2 linked regions of the Notamacropus eugenii genome follow. The protein of the gene in region 2 interacts with the protein of the main gene of each other region in a biochemical or structural test. Links are inferred from orthologs where the notes say so. Each region holds a gene or a part of one and is shown on either strand. Other genes may lie near its edges. The genes, in order: PDK1 and RPS6KB1.

What was found.
Region 1: the proteins of RPS6KB1 (region 2) and PDK1 form a complex in vitro, tested with the Homo sapiens proteins (2 studies listed by BioGRID and IntAct, with this or other methods). The link is inferred for Notamacropus eugenii from reciprocal best matches to the Homo sapiens genes RPS6KB1 and PDK1.

What each region holds. Positions count from the first base shown.
Region 1 is NC_092876.1:234,411,448-234,422,752, reverse strand, and holds the start of PDK1 (pyruvate dehydrogenase (acetyl-transferring) kinase isozyme 1, mitochondrial), read right to left. Parts: upstream 4,540-11,305; 5' UTR 4,421-4,539; coding exon 4,252-4,420; intron 1,432-4,251; coding exon 1,290-1,431; intron 3-1,289; coding exon 1-2. UniProt on the Homo sapiens protein: Kinase that plays a key role in regulation of glucose and fatty acid metabolism and homeostasis via phosphorylation of the pyruvate dehydrogenase subunits PDHA1 and PDHA2.
Region 2 is NC_092873.1:372,680,433-372,691,842, forward strand, and holds the start of RPS6KB1 (ribosomal protein S6 kinase beta-1), read left to right. Parts: upstream 1-6,907; 5' UTR 6,908-6,996; coding exon 6,997-7,137; intron 7,138-11,410. Other genes in the region: TUBD1 (tubulin delta chain), read right to left, coding at 759-906, 2,932-3,103. UniProt on the Homo sapiens protein: Serine/threonine-protein kinase that acts downstream of mTOR signaling in response to growth factors and nutrients to promote cell proliferation, cell growth and cell cycle progression.

The sequences.
Region 1 (11,305 bases), on a different chromosome or scaffold from region 2:
ACCTAAAATGTAAATCCCCAAGTTAAATTTGAACTTATTATGTTCCAAGACCTTAATCTATAAAAATACTACAAATGTATTTCTAATATCACCTTTTGATCAGGAACAATATTATGGTGTCATGTTAGCAGTGCATTAATTGTTGAAGAGATACTTTTTTATATTTACTAAAAAACTAGTCTATATTCCCTCTTTCTGATGATACCTTAGACAGGATATTACTCAAGAATCTTAAGATCTCATTCTATTGTATTTTTTTTCCTTAAATTTTGTATCTTCACTCTAAGTAACTCTTGGACATGTCTTTAATTCAAAAAATGGTGGTATAGTTCAAAAGTACAAGTTTTACAGAACAAATCCTTTTATTAAGGGGATTTGCTCTACGAAGTTTGGATTCAGTCAAAAGGTCACACTTGAAGACCTAGAAGGCCACAGGTTCCCCACCCCATGTGGTTCAGTCATTTCAGTATATGTATGAATGTGTATGAATGTATATTATATACATTTTTTCAGACACAAATATGCATAATAATTTGTGCTTAATCAAATCTCTAACAGTTTAATGCTTAAAGCTATATTGTCATTTAAAAAAATTAATATGATTATGCTAATTTTGGCCCACTTGTTTCTTTTATGAATTTAAAAAATGGATATGCAAGAGCAGATTCTCTCAGATTCTCTCACAGATGCATAATTTCCACAAAAGAAAAAAAAAGACACTAAAATCTCTTAAAATAATCATCATAATCGAAGAATAAAGTTTTTGTAACTAAATTATTTTTCATTCAAATTTTATCTTGATCAATTCTTTTGTTAAATGTTTACAATGCTTAAGAAATAGCAATAGTGAAGACAAAGGCAATTACTTGAAAATGATTAATAAAATCATTTATTAATAAAAAGATTAAACCAATTTTTTAAAATATAGCTTATAAAACCGAAGATGTCTTCACAATTGGATCAATCCATTTGTTAAAAATGTGTGCTTTTAAAATACATTTACCCATACTGATTGCATTTGTATGAATTTTAGAGTGTTAAAAAAAATCATTCCTGTAAAATTTAACAAGAACTAAATCACAAGACATATTTAACTGTGGCACTCACATTTCTGTGCAGTACTGCTTCTCTCAAAGAAAAGAATAGCAATGTCTAATAGGACTTAGGGAACAAATACATACACCACCAAATAAAGGCTGCTTATAATTCTGGTAGTCCAATGACGATCATGTTTAATATAAGGCAAAATATTCTCCACTAATATTGCAAAAACAAGACAGGATTCTTACCAGCTCTGTACCAGCTGAACTGAAGGTGTTCTTAGAAGATTATCTGGAAGAAGACTGATTTCTTTCATTATGTTTGCCAATCTCACTGGCAACTCTTGCCGCAAAAACATAAATGAGGTCTTTTCACATGCATTCACAGATCCTGAAACAAAAGGAATTTGGAAATCAAAATGGAAGTGTGAAGAAAATGTGATTCTACAAGAACAAAATTATTCCTCCACCAAAAGTTGCTTTCATATTCGTTCTTTGTTTCTTAAACCGTGAAATTCTGAAAATATCTGCTTACAAAGTTGTCATACTGTTTGAAAACTGAACCTTAAGGGAAACAAGGAAATATGTAAGAGATAGAAAATCATAAGTCTTCAAGAAGAAGTCAACTCTTCCTAGAAAGAAGTGTAGATTTACCAAGAAAAAAACCAAAGTTGCCAATGACTAGATCTTTGCCTTTTACCATTTTACCATGATAGATCACTGACTTAAGAAATCTCAATGATAACATAAGATAAATAACCACCAACATTCTTTTAAATTTCTACCAAACATTCCATTCAAAAGAATGGTTTCTTGATTCACTATCCAGATAAAAAAGTCTGGAGTCTTGCTGAAGGAATTGTAGGATTCTTTAATCTTAGGGGGAAGATAAGTCTGAGAAATATATATTCTTTAAGAAGTTAGACTAAATATACTGATCAAACTGTTCTGATGGGAGCCATCACTGTGCTTTTGCGTTCACTCATATTACACTAAATGGGATCAGTATGTCCTACACATAGCGATAATTGTAATTAAAATACCAAAAATAAGAGGTTTTTTTCTTTTAAAGTATGCTTCATTACCATACCTACTTTGCAGCCACTCTCAGACCAGTGATGAAACCTTTTCTCTTCCTCTTGAAGCTACTATAGATGCTTTGAAATTTCCTACATTACTACAGGATAAACTGTATTTTATCCTATTTTCTATTCTACAATATTAATATCTAGATGGGAAATATGTAAAATAGTCCATTATAATTAAAATGAAAAAGGGCAACTTGTTAAAATTACAACTATACTACGCATTTTAATGTTTCTTAATCTTAACTCATGTTTTTAGGTATACATTTTTTTTTGATGCAGTAAATCCATTTTTGCAAAAGTTCAGTTACTTGTCTCAGGTCATGCAATTAGTGGGAGAGCCAGGACATAACCTGCTTCTCCTTACTCCAGAAAAGCACTTTTTCCACCACAATGCAATGCTTCTTCATACCATATTGTCTCAAAAGCTTTAAAGGAAAACACTTTCTCCTAAAAGTCAGATTTGATGGAATACTGAGGTAATGATTAGGTCTTAACTATCAGAATAATTGTTTCAAATTACAAGTAAAAATAAAAACATGTAGAGGTTTTCTAGTCAAAATAAACAAACCTTATAGGAGTCTTTATTTTAAAATAATGAAATCATCAATGTTATGCTATGAGTGCTCTCTTAGGACACTGCAGTGAAGCCTGAGAGCAAAAAAAGAGTAAGTTATTTTACCCAAGCACCGGACTATGGAGTTTTTTTTCCCAAAGATTACTTACTAGAAGTTTTCTACTTTTCCCTTTTTTCTCTGAGTTCTAAGTGGACTTCAGAAACTTACTAGCAGCCTGAGCAAGTTACTTAACCTGTTTTTCTTTGTTTCCTCATCTGGAAAATGGAGATAATAATAGCACTTATCTTCAGGACTATTGTGAAGATCAAATGAGATAATAATTGTACAGCGCTTAGCATAGTGCCTGGAACATATATAAACATTATTATTAATATTAGTGCATGTTTGACTTTGTCCAAGAAGAAGGCAATAAATAAACTAAGTCCTAAAGGCTTTTTAAATGCAACCACCTCTTTCCTTTTCTATAATCGGCAAAATATCTTCTTTCATTTAGGGAAAACTTTAAAAGAATCATCAATTTGAACGGGAAGAAAACTAGACTATAAGTTACTTAAAAGTAGTCACAGATTTGTGTTAACCAAAAAACGGAGTCCCATAGCATCGTGTTCAAGCAGGTTATTATATTCAATATTTGTTTAAAATTAAAATACTTTCCCTGGGTTATCAACATTTATCAGTTCATAAGCATTTACCAAGCACTCATGTGCCAGGTCCTGCACTTTTACAATTATTCATCTTCATTTGGTCCTGAGTATTTAAGCACTGGAGAGACCAAGCAAAGCGGAAGGAGCCAAAGAGATGTCCCTGACCCTGCAGGAGCTCATGGTCTAATTCATCTCAATGCCTAGAAAAGTATGATTCTCTTTCAAGAAAAGGAGCCAAATATGTTTTCTTTCACAAGTCTAGATGATTAGTTGCTTCCTTAAAAAAAAAAGTGAACAGTAATCTTGGGAAAAGAAAAATTCTACACCAATAAACAGCAGCAACACGGCCATCATGAGCATTTGCCACTGCCCAAGAGATGAAGGGATTTGTGCCGAAATGAGGATTTATCATCATTCCTGGTCCCTGTTGCTTATTACAAATAAAACTGTGGCTTGTGTCAGACACTGCGTCCGCAACTGTGAGTCCTGCTTACGTCAAAAATAAACAGATAAAATAAAACAAAGCAGACAAAAAGAACAATTGGCAACGGACGAGGCCCCGAAACGCTTCCTTGTCTTTCCCTCGCTCCGACACCAGATGACTTTTCTAACTCCTAGTTTTTGTTTAAAAATGAGAAATGCACCAAATAAAACGCATAGAAAAAACACTAGATGAGGACGCAAAGGCAAAACAGGGAAAGGTGGGAAGGAGGCAGACACGAGAGCACGGAGAGAGACCTGGACACAGAGGTGGGCGGAGCACCCGACAGCCGAGGGCGGGCCGGGGGAGAGGGAGCCGGGCAGAGGGACCCCAGGGCGGGCGCGGGCAGCGTCCTCCCCTCCTCCCCCGCCCGTCACCGGGACCCTCCAGGGCCTCCCCCCGGAGAAGCGCGAAGCCGCTCACCGAAGTCCAGAAACTGCTTCATGGAGAGCGGGGACGGGGAGAAGCGCGAGTAGAAATCCACCTGGCCCGGGACGCTGCGCTCGAGGTCGGCACCGGGACTCCAGCTTGGGGGGGGACCTGGGCCCGGACCGGCCGAGGCTGCCCGTCGTAGGTACCTTATTAACCTCATAGTGAAATACGTTCCAGAAGATGTAAAGAAAAAGGAGACCCAAATCCGAGAGGCGCCATCGCGTGCCCGGCTCCTGGCTTCCGTGGCGCGTACGTGCAGGGAGTCGTGGGGGGGCCGGAAGAGGCGGGGCCTTCCGCGCCATGTTAGGCTAGGCGCCTGAACCAGGGAGCTGAGTGCCCCGCCCCCAGGAGGGGAGGGGCGGAGCCCGGCGTCTCCCCGCCCCTTCCCATCGTGGGGGAGGCACGTGAGTGCTTTGTCCTTCGAAACCCGCTGGGACTCGGGCGCCTTCCACTTTCTTTAGGCCTGGCTTTGCTTAGCCTCGCTTCACCCGAAGGAGCGCGCTGTGCCTTGCTCCAGCTGTGGAGGAGGGTGAGGTGGGGGGGAAGGGGTCCGCAGCCCACTCCTGAATGAGCCTGGAAGGGCTAGGACGCGAGTGCTTTACTACTACGTTCGCGGCTCGCACCCCCCAGCCACCCTCCCTAGCATTGGCATTAATGCCACCTGGCTTCGCTTAGGACCCCTCCTGCCTTCACAAAGGCACGGGAAGATGCCACCGCCCTACGGATGCCTTGACCTATTTACCTATAGGATGGAGGGGTGGGGGGAAGGGGAAGACAGGATCATCATCCTTTTGTTCAGTTATTTAAAAGAGCTGCTCTGAGGCATGAGGGAATTAGAGTAACATTGATAGACTCACCAGAGAGAACTCAAGAGAAAGTTAATTCATTCAACACGCTCTCCTGTGTCTCCTCTATGTGATTACTTCCCATTTTACACTGTATATATTTTATGAATACATTGTTGCTGCATGGTAAAGGAAGCTTCCTTAAGGGCAGTGGCCATGTTTTTCCTTCATTTGTATCTCCAGAGTTATCAACGGTAACTGTTGCTCTTTCCCTACCAGCTTGATTTACTTATTTTTTTTCTTTTGCTCATTAAACCCATTGCATCCTGGGCCTTCTCTGGTCATCCTGATGAATATTTGGACACTGGATCCAAATGGCTCAGGAGGGGACAGTGAAGTTGGTGACCTTGCACAGCTCCCCCTCACTCAAAACAAAGTCAAGTGCAAGTCATGTCATCATTTCTCTGATGTCATGGTCCTCTTCAAAAAGGAAGAATGGAACACAAAGTTTAGAACACAGCCCAGCTCATAAATGCTTGTATACTTGTATACAGACTGCAAAGTACTCTCCTAATCCTGGGATGCAAAGGGTCAAAAAAAAAAAAAAAGCCCATCACTGCCCTTTAAGGATATTACTTTCTATTGCACAGAAACAACATAAAAATAAGTAAACACAAAATATAGACAAAGTAATTCCTGGAGAGAGGGCACTAGCAAATATGGAGATCTAGATAAGTCTTCTGTAGGAGATGGCTCTTCAGTTGAATGTTGAAGGGAACTAGGCTCAGGCTACTGACTATCTTCCCAGTCATCTGAGTAAAAACGAAAAAAAGGCATAAGGAGATTCAGTGGGGTCCTGATATGTGATCTGTACTGCTGTTTGGAGGATAAATCAGAGGGGAGAGATTGGAGGCAGGGAGACCAATTAGGTCATCATCTCACTTCACCTTTCTCACCCTCCACCCCCGTCTTAAAAGAAGTTGGCATGTATGGCACTATAGTGGGGCTAATAAAAAGAAAAACTGAAACACAGGGACTAGGGGATGAAAGAAAGAAGGAATCATCCCACAATAGGATCAGAACTCAAGTCCTCCATTTCCTTATTCCACTATGAGTAAAGAAAACATCAAATTCTTCTGCCATCACAGAATTAAATAGCTTTGATTCACCTCTGCTTCCCACCCCTTTCATTTCCTGAACTTAAGTGGCTATCCAGGCAGCACCCCCACTAAAGTTTTAATTGACCTCTGTACCTGTAGAACTGGCAGCCTTGGAAAGAAGAATGTGAGAATTATTATGTTACCTGAGTCTACAACACTCTCTAGATCCTCAAGTTGAAGAAAAACCCATATTTTAATGGAGGGTTTTGCTCTTCCCAACCCAGGGCCATTTTTCTTGTTATTGTGACAAAATTGTCAACCTCTTTTTCTGGACTTAGGTAAAGATTAGGGAAGGCCTAAGCAAACCTTGAGAGGCCTGATAAAATGCCCCAGCCTAATCTAGAACATGGTGAAGATCTATGAATTGTTGTTTATATATAGACTTTACAAGGGTTGCAAGAAATGCTGTACCATGGTTGAAACCAGATCAAAATCAGTGTCTGAGAAGGGAGAATCTCAATCCAATCTCAATCCTTGGTCAACACGAAATATAGGTAATTCCTGAACATTAAGCCAAAATATGGCCACAACAAATTTGGAGGATGGGAAAAATGCTGCAGGTAGACACTGAAGCCCAACTTTAAGTAATGTAATGTAGCTGACAGGTGGGGGAAAAAAACCTCAAAAAATAGCAGACCAGCTGTCATGGGATAGTCCAAAGCCAGGTGGCTTTAGGGGCAAAAAACATGAAGCAGCCCAGGAGGTAAAAAGGCAACCATAAATAGCTTCAAAGATCCCACCATCTCCAAGTACATGCTATAAAAAAAGAAAAAAATGCCAAAAGATAATTAATTTTCAGTAACATTGAAACACAAAGATTGCACTATCTATTACACATTGTAGAGTATGGACAATAATAATTAAAACAAACTTACTGAACCTCATAATTAAGGAGGGGAAAATTAAATTCACCAATTAACAATGAATCAACAAGTGTTTATTAATTGCCCACTGTGTCATGCTCTGGTAAAACAAATACAAAGAATGAAAGAAACCCTATTTACAGGAATCTTATATTCTAATAGGGGAGACAGCAAGGACATGTGTATGTGAATAAATACAAATGTGTGCAAATTAGTTTGTACTAGCAACTGGGAAGATCAGGAAGGGCTTCATGCAGAAGATAATTCCTTAGCTTCATTTTAGAAGGAAGAGGAGGACTCTATGGGGCAAAGATAAGAAGATAGTGCATTTCAGGCATGGGTCAGTACAAACATAGAGATAGGAGACAGTCTCCTGTGTGAGGAACAGAGAGAGAAGGCCAGTTTGACCAGTTTGGAGAGTGCAGGAGGAGAAGTAATCCTAATAAGGCAGCAAAGGTAGGTTTTGTCCAGATTGTACAAAGTTTTAAAAGTAATCAGAGAAGTTTATAGTTTATTCTAGAAGCAGTTGGAAACTTCCAGTTGATTGAGCAGGAAATTGATATGGTCAGATTTGTGATTAAGAAAAATTACTTTGGCAGCTGTGTATAAAATGGATTAGAGTAGGAAAAGACATGAGTCAAGAATACTAATTAAGAGACATTGCAATAATTTAGGTGAGAGGTGATGACAGCTTGAACTAAGGTAGTAGCTATTTCTGAATGAAGATAAGAAGTTTGATGGAAGAGATACTATGAAGGTGGAAATACAAGATTTGGCAAAAGATTCAATAGATGAGGGAGAATGAGTTGAAGATAATACCAAGGTTATAAACCTGGGAGATTGGAAGGGTGATGGTGACTTCAACAGAAATTGGGAAGCTTAGAAGAGGAATAGGTTTAGAAGGAGATAACATGTTCAGTCTTGGATATGTTTAGCTTAAGATAGCCATTCCAAAAGGTTTAATGGTCATTTGGTGATACAAGACTAAAGTTCAGAATAGTTACTAGCACTGGAGATAGATAGATAGATAGATAGATAGATAGATAGATAGATAGATAGATAGATAGATAGATAGATAGATAGATGGTGTCATCTGCATAGAGATGGTAGTCAAACCCACAAGACTGATGAGACTACCAAGAAGGAGAAGAGAAGGTGACCAAGGACAGAACCTTGAGGTACATCCAAAGTTAGGGGGCATGATATAGATGATAAATTTACAAAGGAGACTGAGAAAGAATGTTCATTCAAGTAGGAAGAGAGCCAGGAGAGAGTAGTGTCATGAAAACTCAGAAAAAATTTCAGCATCACCCCCTTCCTCCTTTCAGTTCCTGGGTATTGTAGTGTATTGACTTTTGTTTGGAAATTTAGATAGGTTTCATTTTTTTGTTTTCCTAGAAGAACTCATAGTAGAAAAGAGCAAAGGGAATTTGAAGAATTACTGGTGCTTGATCATACAGCGAAAACTAGTACACAAAGTTCAGTTATATTTTAATCACAAGTGGAAGAGGGGAGAAGAATGGAATGTCTCACTACAGAAGCTTGCTATTTTTAACTGTTGGAATTGGCTATTTAAGGTAATAAAATGTGTATGATCCTAATCTGTTACTGTGTTTAAAAGCTCTTTTGAATTCTACTAATTAAGAGACAGAAGTGAATATGGTGCTTGAAAGAAAAATGTACTAGGAGCTGTAATTCGATTTCAATTTAACAAACATTTGGTAAATAAACAATCAGCTAGGTCTGAGCACACAAAGACAAAACTGATAGAGGTGCTCTTAACAAGTTCACATTCCACTGGAGGGACACTGCACATAAACATATTAATAACACTTGTGATATGAATTATATTTTAGCTACTTCCTAACATAACACTGCATAACTACTAACATAACCCTGAAACAACACATTTCAGCAGATGGACAATAGAGGCATCTTTGAATTCCTGGGTGATTACCTCCTCTTGCCATATAACTTGGAAAATTTCAGTCAGCTTTTGTATGGGCAATGGACCCTCTACCTTGTAAATCTCAGCTAGAATAGAATCAGCACCAGGTGCTTGAAAGACACGCAGAACCTCTTCTTTACTTGGAGCTTCAGCTAGGAACGGATTGACTTCAACCTGAGGTAAATAGTCAATGACCTCAGCATTGATTGATGATGAGTACACTATGGAAGTGTTCAGATCTCTAGGATCATATTGCTAATCAAACTGGCTCCATCAGCACTGAGTAACTGAGATGCACCATAGGTCTTTGGCCTATAAATAGCCTTCAGGGCATCATAAAAGTGTTTTGGATTGTTACTATCAGAATAAAACTGAATTTCATCTGCCTTCTTACAGAACCAAGAATCCTGCATCTCTCTAAGCTTTGCTTGTACTTTACCTTTGATGGAATTAAATGCTGCCTTCTTAGAGATGGATGAACTATCCTTCTGGTAAGCCCTGTAGAGTTCTCATTTTTCATTTAGCAGCTTCTGAATTTCCCCATCATTTTCGTGATGAGCAAATGCAACACTGTACACCAAATCTCTGAAAGCCACCCACTTGTTTTCTGCTCCACTGTTGCCAGCTGTGTGTGTGTTTGCTCAACTTTTCCTCCAAGTTAGCAACAAAGTGTTCCCTGTAAAGGTAAAGGAAATAGATTGTCCTGTGACAATCACAGGGGGTCTCTCTCTTAGTCATTGCTGGCAAGATTCTTGCCAGAGTTCTCCTTCACCTAATCCTTCAGCTGGAAGATGATCATCTACCTGAGAGCCAGTATGGCTTTAGAAAGGGCTGAGGAGCACTGATATGGTTGCTGCCTGACAATTCCAGGAGAAATACCAGGAGCAAAAGAGAGATCTGTATACATTTGTAGATCTGACTGAGGCCTTTGATACTGTTAGTTGTGAGGGCGTATGGAAAATTATGTCAAAATTTGATTGCCTGGAGAAATTCATCAGCATTGATCATCAATTTCATGATGGCATGCTGGCCCGGGTTCTAGATAATGGACAATGTTCTTGTGCCCTCCCAGTCACCAATAGAGTAAACCAAGGCTTACTCCCATGCCTTTTAGCATGATGTTTTCAGCCTTGTTTTCAAATGCTTTCAATGAGGATGAACACGGCATCAAGGTCAGCTACTGCACTGATGGTAAGTTCTTCAACTTGAAAAAGCTACAAGCCAGGACCAAAGTGGAGGGAATGTTGGTGCATGATTTTCTGTTTGCAGATGATTGTGCACTCAATGCAGCCTCTGAAGTTGAGAAGCAACAAAATATGGATCAATTCTCTGCTTCTTGTGCTAATATTGGCCCAACAATTAACACCAAGAAAACACAGGTGTTCCTTCAGCCACCACCACACCATCCATACATGGAACCATTAGTTACAGCAAATGGAGAAGTTTTGAATGCTGTGGATAAGTTCACTTACCTTGGTAGTGTATTTTCTAGGGATGTACACATTGGTAATGAGGTTGATGCATGCATTGCCAGAACTAGCTCATTGTTTGGGAGGTTCTAAAGGAAAGTATGGGAGATAAGAGGTATTAGATTGACTACCAGACAGAAGGTCTACAGAGCTGTTGTGCTGAACTCATTGTTTTATGCCTGTGAAACCTGGGCAGTCTATAAGTGCCATGCCAGGAAACTGAATCACTTACATTTGAATTGTCTTAGGAATATTCTGAAGATCACCTGGAAGGATAAGGTACCAGACACTGAGACCCTTACTCGAACTAAACTGCCAAGCATTCACACTGCTTCAGAGAGCACAGCAACGATGAACTGGCCGTGTTGTTTGAATGCAAAACGTGAGCTTGCCAAAAAGGATGTTTTTTGAACTCACACAGGGCAAGCATTCACATGGTCATCAGAAGCAAAACAAGGACACTCTCAAGGTGAATCTTAAGAACTTTCAAATTGATTTTGTGACATGGGAGACACTGGCACAGGACTGCTCAGCATGGCACACCCACATCAGAGAAGGTGCTATGCTCTGAGAGCAAAGCAGAATTGAAGTAGCTCAAAGGAAACTCAAGACATGCAAATTTAGAGTATCCACCCCAAATGTTCACACATACTATTTGTGCCTAATCTGTGGTAGGCATTCCAAGCTCATATTGGTTTGATCAGCCATAGTCAGACACATTGAAACTTAACTCTAGCACAGTGATGTCATTTTGGTCCTCTTGGAGAATGAAGGACAACAACCAACCAACCAACATTTCAGCAAACTATACTAACATAGC
Region 2 (11,410 bases):
ATCTGTGAAGAGAAAATCCCTATCTCAAGTCTTTTCCACTGAAATATAGATTTTATTTCAGACTTCTGTGTACCCCCAAATCCCATAAGAACCCACACGCAGTTGAGAAACAATCTGGTCAAGAGTCAAAGCAATGCCACTTGTTAACCTTGTGACCTGGGTCAAACCACAATCTCTTTGGTGTTCAGGATTCTGCAGTTTTTCCTCTATTATGAAGAGAATAGACCAGATAATCTCTCTAATGATTTTGAAAATCAGTAAGGACCTATTACTTTACAACTCTCTACAGGGTCTAAATGAGAAAAAAAAGAAGGAATTAAAGATACAGGCAAGAAAGAGGTTTCTAGTTTCATTTAAATTATTATTAGAAGCAAAAATCATTAGAAAAAATTTCCATAGACCTATGTATTTGGGTAAGAAAGAGAAACAGGTCTAGGGAGATATAATAGAGAAGAACTGTCAGGTAGGAGGAAACATGGTTGAGAACAATGGATTTGGTGCTTCCTTCTTGTTCAAAGCCTCCTGAAACTTTTTTTTTTTTTTTTGGTTTCCAGCTCTTTTCTACCAGCAACAGAGCTCAGGTCACCTGTTTCCATTTCTCCTTCTATAGTCACCTCCTACTGTCTAAAATCAAGTTCTGATTTAATGCATTTAATGTCTGTTGACTGACTGGATCCACAATTTCAAGTTTATGGTTTCTTTAGATCCTTCAACTGTATACCAGTAACTCAAGTGAAATGTGAGTAAATCACTCTTACCCATATGCCCAATTATTTCCAGAACCTTGTTTCTGACAGAAATGTGAGTGTTGACCATACTTCCATCTGCTAGAATGGGCAGCTTTTAATAGTGTTTGACTGATCACTTTGGGCTCCATGTCAATAAGCAATGCTCGGGCAATTGGAACTAGAATGTAAAGAGGAAATACAAAATGTGGAAAAAGTTATCCCCACGCAGGATCATAAATTAAGAGCTGGGAGGGCCCTTACATGCTAATTCAGAGTATAAATTTACTTAATGAGAAAGAAAAGAGGGTATCTCTCACTCTGGTATGAAATCCAGGCAAGCAGCAAAAATACCAACATTATTCCTAGTGTTTAGCATTCCTATTGTTGGGATAGGAACTATTTTTACTATTTTAGTAGAACTATTTTTACTATTTATTATTTTTAGTATTTTTAATAATACATACGTTGGTGCTTGCTTTTCTGCTTAATAACCTCCTTGAAAATAGGTTGGACTGTTCCATTCTTTGTATTTGCACACAAATACAAGCCCTCTCTTCCAAAGAAAGTAAGTAACCAGTAGACTTCCAGGCTTAAACAAATACATATCAGTAATTTAATGCAATTAGTTCACAAGTCCAGGTGTTACTCCTAATCAAACAAACACAAGGGCGAGAATTCACAGAACCCACTCTGGACCTCAATGAAGAAACAGTAACTCAACTACTGTTACATATTCAGGTTATGTATCTGAGAAGTGGATAATTATCCCCTACCTTCAAATATTAGGAAGAACTACACCTTTTCAAGACAGTATCAGTATAGGCCCATAGCTTTATCACATCACTCTCAACATAAAAATGACTTGAAAACAGAACTTCCCAAAGAATTTTTACAACTAGTGTCTGTGATAAAGGCCTCATTTCTAAAATATAGAGAACTCAGTCAAATTTACAAGAATACTAGCCATTCCCCAACTGATAAATGGTCAAAGGATATGAACAGCAAGTTTTCAGAGGAAGAAATTAAAGCTACCTACATAGTCATATGAAAAAATGCTCTAAATCACTATTGATTAGAGAGATGCAAATCAAAATGACTCTGAGGTACCACATCACACCTATCAGATTGGCTAACATGACTAAAACAGGAAAATGACAAATGTTGGAGAAGATGTGGGAGACTTGGAAGAATACTAATTCATCTTTGGTGGAGCTGTGAGCTGCTCCAATCATTCTGGAGAACAATTTGAAACTATGCCCAAAGGGCTATAAAATTGTGCATACCCCTTGGACTCAGCACTACCACTTCTAGGGCTATATCCCAAAGAGATCATAAAAATGGGAAAAAGACCCACATGTATAGCAGCTCTCTTTGTGGTGGCCAAGAACTGGAAATCAAGGGGATGCCCATCAACTGGGGAATGGCTGAAAAAGTTGTGGTTTATGAATGTAATAGAACACTATTGTGCTATAAGAAAAGATGAACAGAACTTCAGAAAAAGCTGGAAAGACTTATGTGAATTGATGCTGAGTGAAGTGAGCAGAGCCAGGAGAACATTATACACAGTTAACAGCCACAGTATACAAGGACTGTTTTTGATAGACTTAGCTCTTCTCAGCAATGCAAGGACCTAAATCATTTCCAAAGAACTCATGATGCAAAATGCCATCTACATTCAGAGAAAGAAGTATGGAGTCAGAATGCAGAATGGAGCGACTATTTTCTCCTTTGTTATGTTTTATTTTGTTTTTCTCATGGTTTCTCCTATTTGTTTTAATTCTTCTATGCAACAAGACTAAGGTGAAAATGTGTTTAATAGGAATGCATGTGTAGAACCCATATAAAATTGCATGCTATCTTGGGGAGGGAAGGGGAAGAAATTTGGAATTTATGGTAGTGATTGTTGAAAACTGAAAACAAATTAATAAGTATGGGGGAAAAAAAAGAAAACCAAACTTCCCAATTTTAAATAAAAATTTCTTTGGCAACATTTGTTGAGTATCCACTGTATACAAAGCAACAGGTATTTAAAAAAAAATTAAATTGGATACAAAGAGACTTATGGACATTTCTTTTTGCTTCCTGCTTAAACAGGCAATACTTTTATTTTCCATAATTGGTATTCTAGGGTCAATATTTGTTAAAAGGAAAAAAAAGAAACAATGCGTTGTTCTCAATGTTTATCGCCACCTTAATTACATACCTCCACTTTTCTCCTCATTAAAGAAATGTTCTTTGCAAGATGCCTGATATACTTCATTTTCCCTCTTAGAGCAGAATCCCTGGGTATTATTTAAGTCTCTACATATGGCATCAAATACTTCATAACCAATCTGATTGCCACACTGACCAAGCTGAATTGTGACTATTGACATGGCGACCAAACCTTTTCCTACAAAGAAAGTGAATAAAGCAGAATAGGAAACAATCATGTCTTTCAAAATAACTACAGATTATCATCAAGGGCAAATAAAAACACATACGCATACATCAGAAAGTAATCACACATTAAGCAACATTATATAACAGTAATAACATTCAGGCTTAGCTGAAGGGAAAAACAGAACTTCGAAATTCCTAGATTATCTCTGACAGTGAATTAAAAACAGCATCAGAAATGTATTTCTGTCCCTGAAAATTACTTCGCTTTAAAAAAAGTTATCTTCTCTTCATGAGATAGGATGGTATTGTATTGCAAATATGCTTTCTTTGCTATGGGAAACTCCCAAAAAAACGAAACGTTTCAATATGAGTGACCCCTGCCCTGCTACTTAAGAGTCTTTCAGGGGTAGTTGCCTGAGGCAAGGAAGGTTCAGAGACTGGCCTGGATTCATATATGGGATTTGAAGCCAAGTCTCCTGATTCCAGGGTTGGATCTCTAATCATGACTGTGGATCTCTAACCATACTGTTTCTCATCTTCCTTTCATAATTAAGATACATACATTGGGAGTTACTATCTGTAATGAGGGAGTAGGAATACGCTAACTACTGGGAAATGAGTGCAAGCAGAGTACAAGGCAGATGGAGAGAAGTTTGTTGGTGAAGGTATGTGGTTAGAAAAAATCTTGTTTTTGGTATGATCCACAAGGCCTCATGACAGGTAGTATTATTGTATCTTTGGTAGTATGGAAGCCTGTCGCACAGCAAGAGAAAGATGTAATATGTTCTGGTCTGGGGGTTGAGGCCTTCAGACAACCATAAGCAGGCCCACTTAACCACTGGGCAGTAACTATTGTTTTATGGCAGTTCCCCATGCAGTATGCATAGCAAGCTTGTGCTTATGTGTGTGTGTGAGAGAGAGACTGAGGTTTTTTAAAACAGCTTTTTCAGGTAAATATTTTATTTTCTCTCTTCCCTATCTTCTATCTACAAAAAGAAAAGAAAAACAACACCCTTGTAACAAATATCAGTGGTATCTGATGCAGGTATTTTTCCTACTCTGCTGCTTCTCTTCTGATTCTTTCTTCACTGATTTTATTTGTGCCACTGTTTTTGTTTTTTGCCAGTTTGATAAATGTGAACTGATAACTCCAAGTTTTTTTAATTTGTATATGTTTGATTACTAATGAGACTGAGCAATTTTCAGGTAATTTTTCTGCATATGACATGAAAATTAATGAAGACATCAAACTGGTTTAGCAAAGGTGCAAGATATCCACATTAAAGATCAAGAAAACATCATGAAAAAACACTTTATTTACAATAACAACAAAAATTGGCAAACATTTGGCAATTAAGCTACCTACGAATATGTATAATCTGTAAGAGGACAGCTATATTTCAATGATTCTAGTTTTACAGGAAGATGTAAATAATTAAATATCAGTGATAATAACCACCACAGTTGAGATGATTGCTTGGATTTTTTTTTTTACTGAAGACATCAAAAGATCAGATGTGCCTTCATCAGTATGAGTACTATGGATGAGATTGAAACCTCTTCACACATTAGAATATAACTGTATTGTTTTGTTTTGGTGACACAACCAGTCAGACCACTACTTCTCAGTATCCTTCAATGGCTCTTCTTCCAAGTCATGCCCATTCATATGGGGGTCCTCCAAACCTCTGTTCTCTTTCTCTCTATGTTCTCCCATGTGGTGAGCTTATTAACTGCCAATGGTTCCAGATTTCCAGTGGATGATTCCCATATCTATATATTTTGCCTTAGTCTCTCTCTTGAACTCCACTCCCATATCACCAAGTGCTTATTCATAATGAATGTTCCGCAGGTACTGCAAACTCAACATATTCAAAACAGAACTCATTATCTTTCCCTATAAACCCACACTTCTTTCAAACTTTCCTGTTACTGTCAAAGGCACCACCATCCTTCCTGTCACTTTGTTATAACAACAAGCTTGGTGTCATCCTTGACTCCTCATTCTAATCTACTACACATATCAAACTAGTTGCCAAATTTTGACGTTTGTGTCTCCATTGAAACTCTCAGAACATAATCTTTTAAGTATGCAGACACATTTAGAAAGTGAAAAACAAAAGGTGCGTATCAATAAAAACTGAGGCACCATAAAGAATTTTTGACAAGCCTTCCTTCCTTTATCTGGAACATCAGATTCTCTGTCAATTTTTCCTCAAAGCAATGATTTTGTTTTTGCCAGTAGCAGAATACCCTACAGTTAGAGTGAGAATATATGGAGACTTCACCATCCTTCCAAGCTTAGGTGCCCAGCACCTCTATTAGCCCTTACAAGAAAAGTTCAGTCACTCAGTTCAGGCATTTACCAAGTGCCTACTTTGAGCCAGGCTCTCTGCAAAGGTGGGGATATAAAGAAGAACCAAACCAAAACAAACAAATGCCCCCCCCCCCGCCCTTCTCATGGCACTCGGGGTTTGATGGGGAAGACAACATACAACCATGGACAAACTATATACATACACACACACGTGTGTATGTAAAACATATACACACACACATATACATACACACACGTGTATGTAAAACACACACACACACACACACATATATATATATACATGTAAAATTGGGGTAGTCTCAGAGGGAAGGAAGGCGGCACTGCCCAACGCAGAGGAAAAGAGCTGTCAGTAGGTTAGTTGGCATTCAAGGCACAACACAGAGAGTAGGGTCGAGCTTTTCTTTGCATCCCTAGCGCTTAGCATAGTGCCTAACTAAAAGCTCGTGGACTTCACCAGAACAAGGAAAAAAACGGAAATAAAAAAGGCGGCGGGCTGGTCACCCGGCAACAGCCTCTAGGGCTCTCCATGGGGATGTCAGGCTTATTAATGTGACTGGGCAGGCACGGACGGTGGGGATCGGCCCAGTCGGAGGGAGAAAACCCCATCTACGAGACCACTGGTTGGGAGGCCGGAGACTTCCAACCCCGGCCCCGTGGGGGTCCTGGACAAGACACACGCCCTTTGTGGGGCTCAGTTTCCTCACCGGTACGATCAGGGGGCTGGCCCTGCCGCCGCCGGGCTCCAAGGTCCCTTCCAGCTCTTACTACGCTCCTACAGTGCCAGGTTTCTCCGGAGGCCCGCGGCGAACGTCTCCGACGGACAGGGTAGCAGCAGGGACTTGGTTTCACTGCAGAGGAGCTCAAAGACCAGGGAAAAGGAAGGCCGTGAGGCCCGGAGAGGAGGGCGGAAACCGCCCAGCGAGGCCACCTCGGCGAAGGCCCCAGCTCGAGCGAATGAGAAAGGAAGACTCCCTCATCTCGGGCCTAGGCCCTCACTCACCGACGGCTCCGAGTCCAGCCGAGCTTTAGGGTCTCTGCCACTACCCCCAGAATAACGGCTCTCCACTCACGCATGCTCACTGTCACCAACTCATCCCTCCCCAAACATCCCTCCTGCGCATGTTCGATGTCCGCACTCGAGACTTCAGAAGGATAAGTGCGCATGTTCCGTTCTGCGAACCCTTCTCTCGATAGTTCTCCCTCCCCTTCTTCAGCTGGTCCAAAGTTATATGCAAGTTCTGAGTTCAGTTCATCAATTTCAGAAACGATACGCATGCGCACAGTTTATCAAGCGCTGTTGGAGCAAGAGATACACAAGTTTATACCCTCGGCTTCAGGTGAGGTTATGCGCATGTCTAAGCCTCTACTTCGCTCCCAGAACAAGAGCTAATTTTGCCCATTGCCCATAGTTCGGCTTCATGGGTAGTTCTGCGCATGTGCAAATGGGTGAGCTTGCGGTGTGAGCCTAGGGCCTGAGCGCAGTCGCACTGATACCCGGCAGCTGGTGATGGCGGCGGCAGCAGCGGCGGCTGCGGCGGGTCCGGGCCCATGAGGCGGCGGCGGCGGCGGGACGGATTTTACCCAGCGCCAGACTTCAGAGACGGGGAAGCTGAGGCCATGGCAGGAGTTTTTGACATCGACCTGGACCAGCCGGAGGACGCAGGCTCTGAGGATGAGCTGGAGGAAGGGGTGAGGCCCGGGGTCGGGGGCTGAGCCGAGCCAGGCTGGGCCGGCTGGGCCGGGCGGAGGTGACAGGGCCGGGGCGTAGGCTCGGGCCTAGGGAGCCGGGCCGTTCCAGCGACCTCGCCTGCGGCGAGAGCCAGAGGCTGGGGCCAGGACGCAGGCCAGCGGAGCGGGAGGGCGGCCGGCGGCCGAGCAGCGGGCTCCGCTGTGGAGTCGGGTGGCGCGGCAGGACCAATCCCGAGGTGGGGGCGGCTGCTGACGGGCGCAGGTGCACCAAGCTCCCGGCCACCACCCCCTCCCGACCCCGGGTCTCTGGTGGCGGGGGTGGCGCGAGCTTCAGGGTGACCCTGGAGCAGCGGGTCTGGGAGGCGGCCGCGGGGGAGCAGGGAGGGGTGCTTGGTGCGGGGAGCTCAAGCTGCTCCCCAGCCTGGGGTCCCCGCTCCTTGCGCTCGCCCCGGCGACTTGGCGCCTGCCAAGCGTCCGCTCAGCTGTTGGATGACAGCTGAAAAGTTCTGCGGGCTGGGCTTTGCGGCAGCAGCCGCCCTGGGAGGGTGACCTGCAGGATGCAGTTTCGGGGGGAGGGTTACGGGGTGATTCTTTAAAAGCTGTTTACAGTGTAAAACTGTGATGCCCCTCTTCCCGATTCTCCCTCCGCCCGCCAGACAAGAGGTTTGTGCGGTTTTCTGATTTGGGAGTTGAAAAAACGGTGCCGGCAGCTGTGATTTGGCTTCCCCCAAATAAGTTGCTTTACCTGGGACTTGTTAAGTTGATGGTTCCAGGGCCACCTTGCTGTATGGTAGGACTACTTTCTAGCTTACTTTAAGTAGAGCTTGTTTTTGTCTTTTATTGTTCCTTTTGCAATATTTCTTTTTCCAGGCCAGATTGTACTTAAGGATTATTTATTAATTTTTAAGGTGTTTTTTAGAGTTGGCGAATCTAAAATAATTTATTTCTCTGCTCATGAACATCATTGGTAAGGCATATATTTTTGTACTTCAAAAGATCTGTGATTTCATTTCATCTTTGTGGGTAACCCTCCCCCCCAAGATGATCCCTTCACAGGCTTCACACCTTAATAGATACCCTTTTTTCCCCCCTCCTGGCCTGTGATTTCACCATCAGTGTAGGGTACACCTTAGAGGAAACTGAAGAGGTTGCATCCTTGTCAGGTCTTAATATGTAGTGTTTTTGTTTGTTTTTGTTCTTATCTGTAATTGTATCAACCTGAGGGGGAACTCGTGAGGAATTGCCTACTGCTACTGCACATATAAAATGTATGGTTTGAATTTCCTGGAACTCTGAGAGGTTAAGCTAGTATGTGTCAGCTTGGGAAAATTTCTTGGCCAATTCTAGTATATAGTTTTGTGAGTTGATATGGCCAAAATAATTCATTACAGTCAGCGTTTTGATGATGAATTTTTCCAAGCTTAGACTGTTCCTATAAGAACATTTGTTAATAACAGTAATTAATGGCTAGTGTGTTACATGTGGTAGACACATATATGTATATATACACATGTATGTATATACATATATATACACATACATATACATATATACACTCGTTACTTTCAGGCTTGGTGAACGCTTTATCATCTCATTTTTTATTGGCCCTGTACTCCATCCTTTCTAGCTTGGTAAGACTTACCACTTCTAGAACCTAATATCACCACCACATCCTGATGAGACATCATCCTAGGTCTTTAGACATGAGATTTAAAAATATTAATGAGTTGGATATTGAAAGTTCTATTTTGCTTCTCATTTTCCTTTTAAATTTAAAAAAGAAAATTCAAATAGAATAGTAATCTGAAAGTTGAGTAATTTAGCAACACTTTGCTTGTGTTATTGGGATGTTATTTAACTGCCCAATTCCATCCTCATCCCCTCAAACAATAGTAACGTTTGCATATTATCAAACTGATAAATGTTAGGGTTAAAAGATGTCATATATATACATATATATGTAAAAACATACACACATATATTATAGATAATATTTATACACACATACATACATGTATATATTTATGTAAAAGACATGTATAAATAAAAGATACCGTTATGTATGTACATGCAATATATATTTATAGGAATACATTTTCTATATGAAGATCTTTGAGTATCTTAAAGGGAAGTTAAAACAGGAATGAATAATGCTGTTCTTTTCATGATCATCTTTACCCTCTAAATCTACCACTTCTCCCAACTTCTTTATTTTTCTTTAGTATCATGCTCCTAGTTTTGTAACTCAAAAAGTAATCTTGACTCCCTTGTTCCCCAGATCCACTTAGTTTACGTAAACTTCATAACATCTCTCCCATCAGTTCCCTTCTCTTTGCTCACAGACTGCACCCTAGATCAATTCTGAATCTTTTCTTTCATGATTATTATAATGATCTCTTAATTGATCAGTACTTTTATTTTCCACCCTCTCCAATCTGTCTTTTCACTGACTTGCTAAAATACTCTTCTTGAGGCACTGATCTGATCATGTTATTCCTCTGCTTAAAAAGCAACTGTTTCCTTGTTGCCTCTACAAGAGAACAAACCCCTCCACCAAGCTTTTGAAAGCTCTTTAGCTCCAAACTGCCTTTTCATACTTATTTCTACAACTTTCCCTTCAGGCAGGCTACTCACTGTTGCCTGAGCTCTCCAGCTTCTTTGTATTTGCATAAGCCTGCCTTGGTTCTAGGAAGGCCCTTCACTCCTTAATAGCTCAGCTCAGATGAAGTTCCTCCCCCTATTTTCTCCTGCCCCCCAGCTAGTAATTCTCTGTTTGTCTTTCCTTGGATTTATAGGCTTCTTGAGGGTAGAGACTGTTTCATTTTAATTTGTACCCTACCCTGTTTTACTCATAGGCATTAAATAAATGTAATGGATTAAACATAAGACTGGGCTTGTGATTTCCTTGGTATAGGTGAGGAAACTCCTTCTAATAATGCAGGTCAGTACCTTCACTGCTAACTAGTTTTAAGAGTAATCCAGAGCATTGTTAATTTGCCCAGGGTCACATAGCCAGTTTATGGCAGTAACAGAACTTGAACTTGGATCTATCTTGTTGATTTCAAAGCCATCTCTATTTGTAACATCACACAGCCTCTCAAAAATAAATGAAATTTCTTCATATGAAAAATAAATGTCTATTGAATTGTCAAGTCGAATTAAATCTCAGAGTTATTTTAGAGAAGTGCGTAGTCTGGTAGGGAGGGTAACTTGTTGCAAGATTTTTCAACTCAGTTCTATGTTCACATTAGCCTAGTGCTTGGATTTTGATATTATTAGAAACTACATCACATATTAAATACTATTTGAAATAAAAAGGTGACTCTGACCCTGCCATCTCAGTACTTATGTATTCTTTGACATGATATACTTTTATTAGTTGAATTGACAATTTTAGAATTAAGGTTTATCATCTTTTTAAAATGTTTGAATTTTACACTGGGGACAGCTAGGTGGTACAGTGGATAGAGTGCCAACCCTGAAGTCAGTTGACTTCTGACCTCAGACACTTACTAGCTGTGTGGCTCTGGGCAAGTCACTTTGCCCTGTTTGCCTCAGTTCCTCATTTGTAAAATGAGCTGGAGAAGGAAATAGCAAACCACTCCAGTATCTTTGCCATGAAAAATGTATCTGAAGAATCAGATATGACTGACCAACATACTTTTATACTTGGAAAGATTTGAAAAAAGTTCAAATACTAGGAAATTATTCTCATTTCCTTTTAATATCTATGAAATATGCTTTTCAAAAATTTTACTGTTCAAACCAATATATTCCTCTTGTTTTGGAGAAATACTCAATCAGAAAACTTACTTTGGAATTGTTTGTTGGTATTATTGAACCACATTGTGAACTACATCACTTATTGCCAAACAGCCAGCACTTAGTTTGCCCTCAGCATGATGTAGTGGAAAGAGTATTAGATCTAAATCAAGAGATTTCGGTTTCAAGTGTACGTGCTCTGCCACTTCAGCCCTCTAAATTTAGGCAACTCACTGTACCTTTTTTCTGGTCCTTGATTTCATCATCCAAAAACTGAGGGAGCTGGACTCTGGAATTTTTAAAGAACATTTTCCATTCTACATTTTACTGAAGTATGATTTATTGATAAATGCAGTTATTTTGGCAGTGGTGTGTATTTTGAAGTGTCAGATAAGCAGTCGGATTATACCTCATGGTATGCCAGTATAACCCCATTTAGAAAGGGGCAAGCCTTTGTGAGTGTGTGGGCACAAAGACTTCAAGTCCCTGTTAATTAGTTTTTTGATACCTA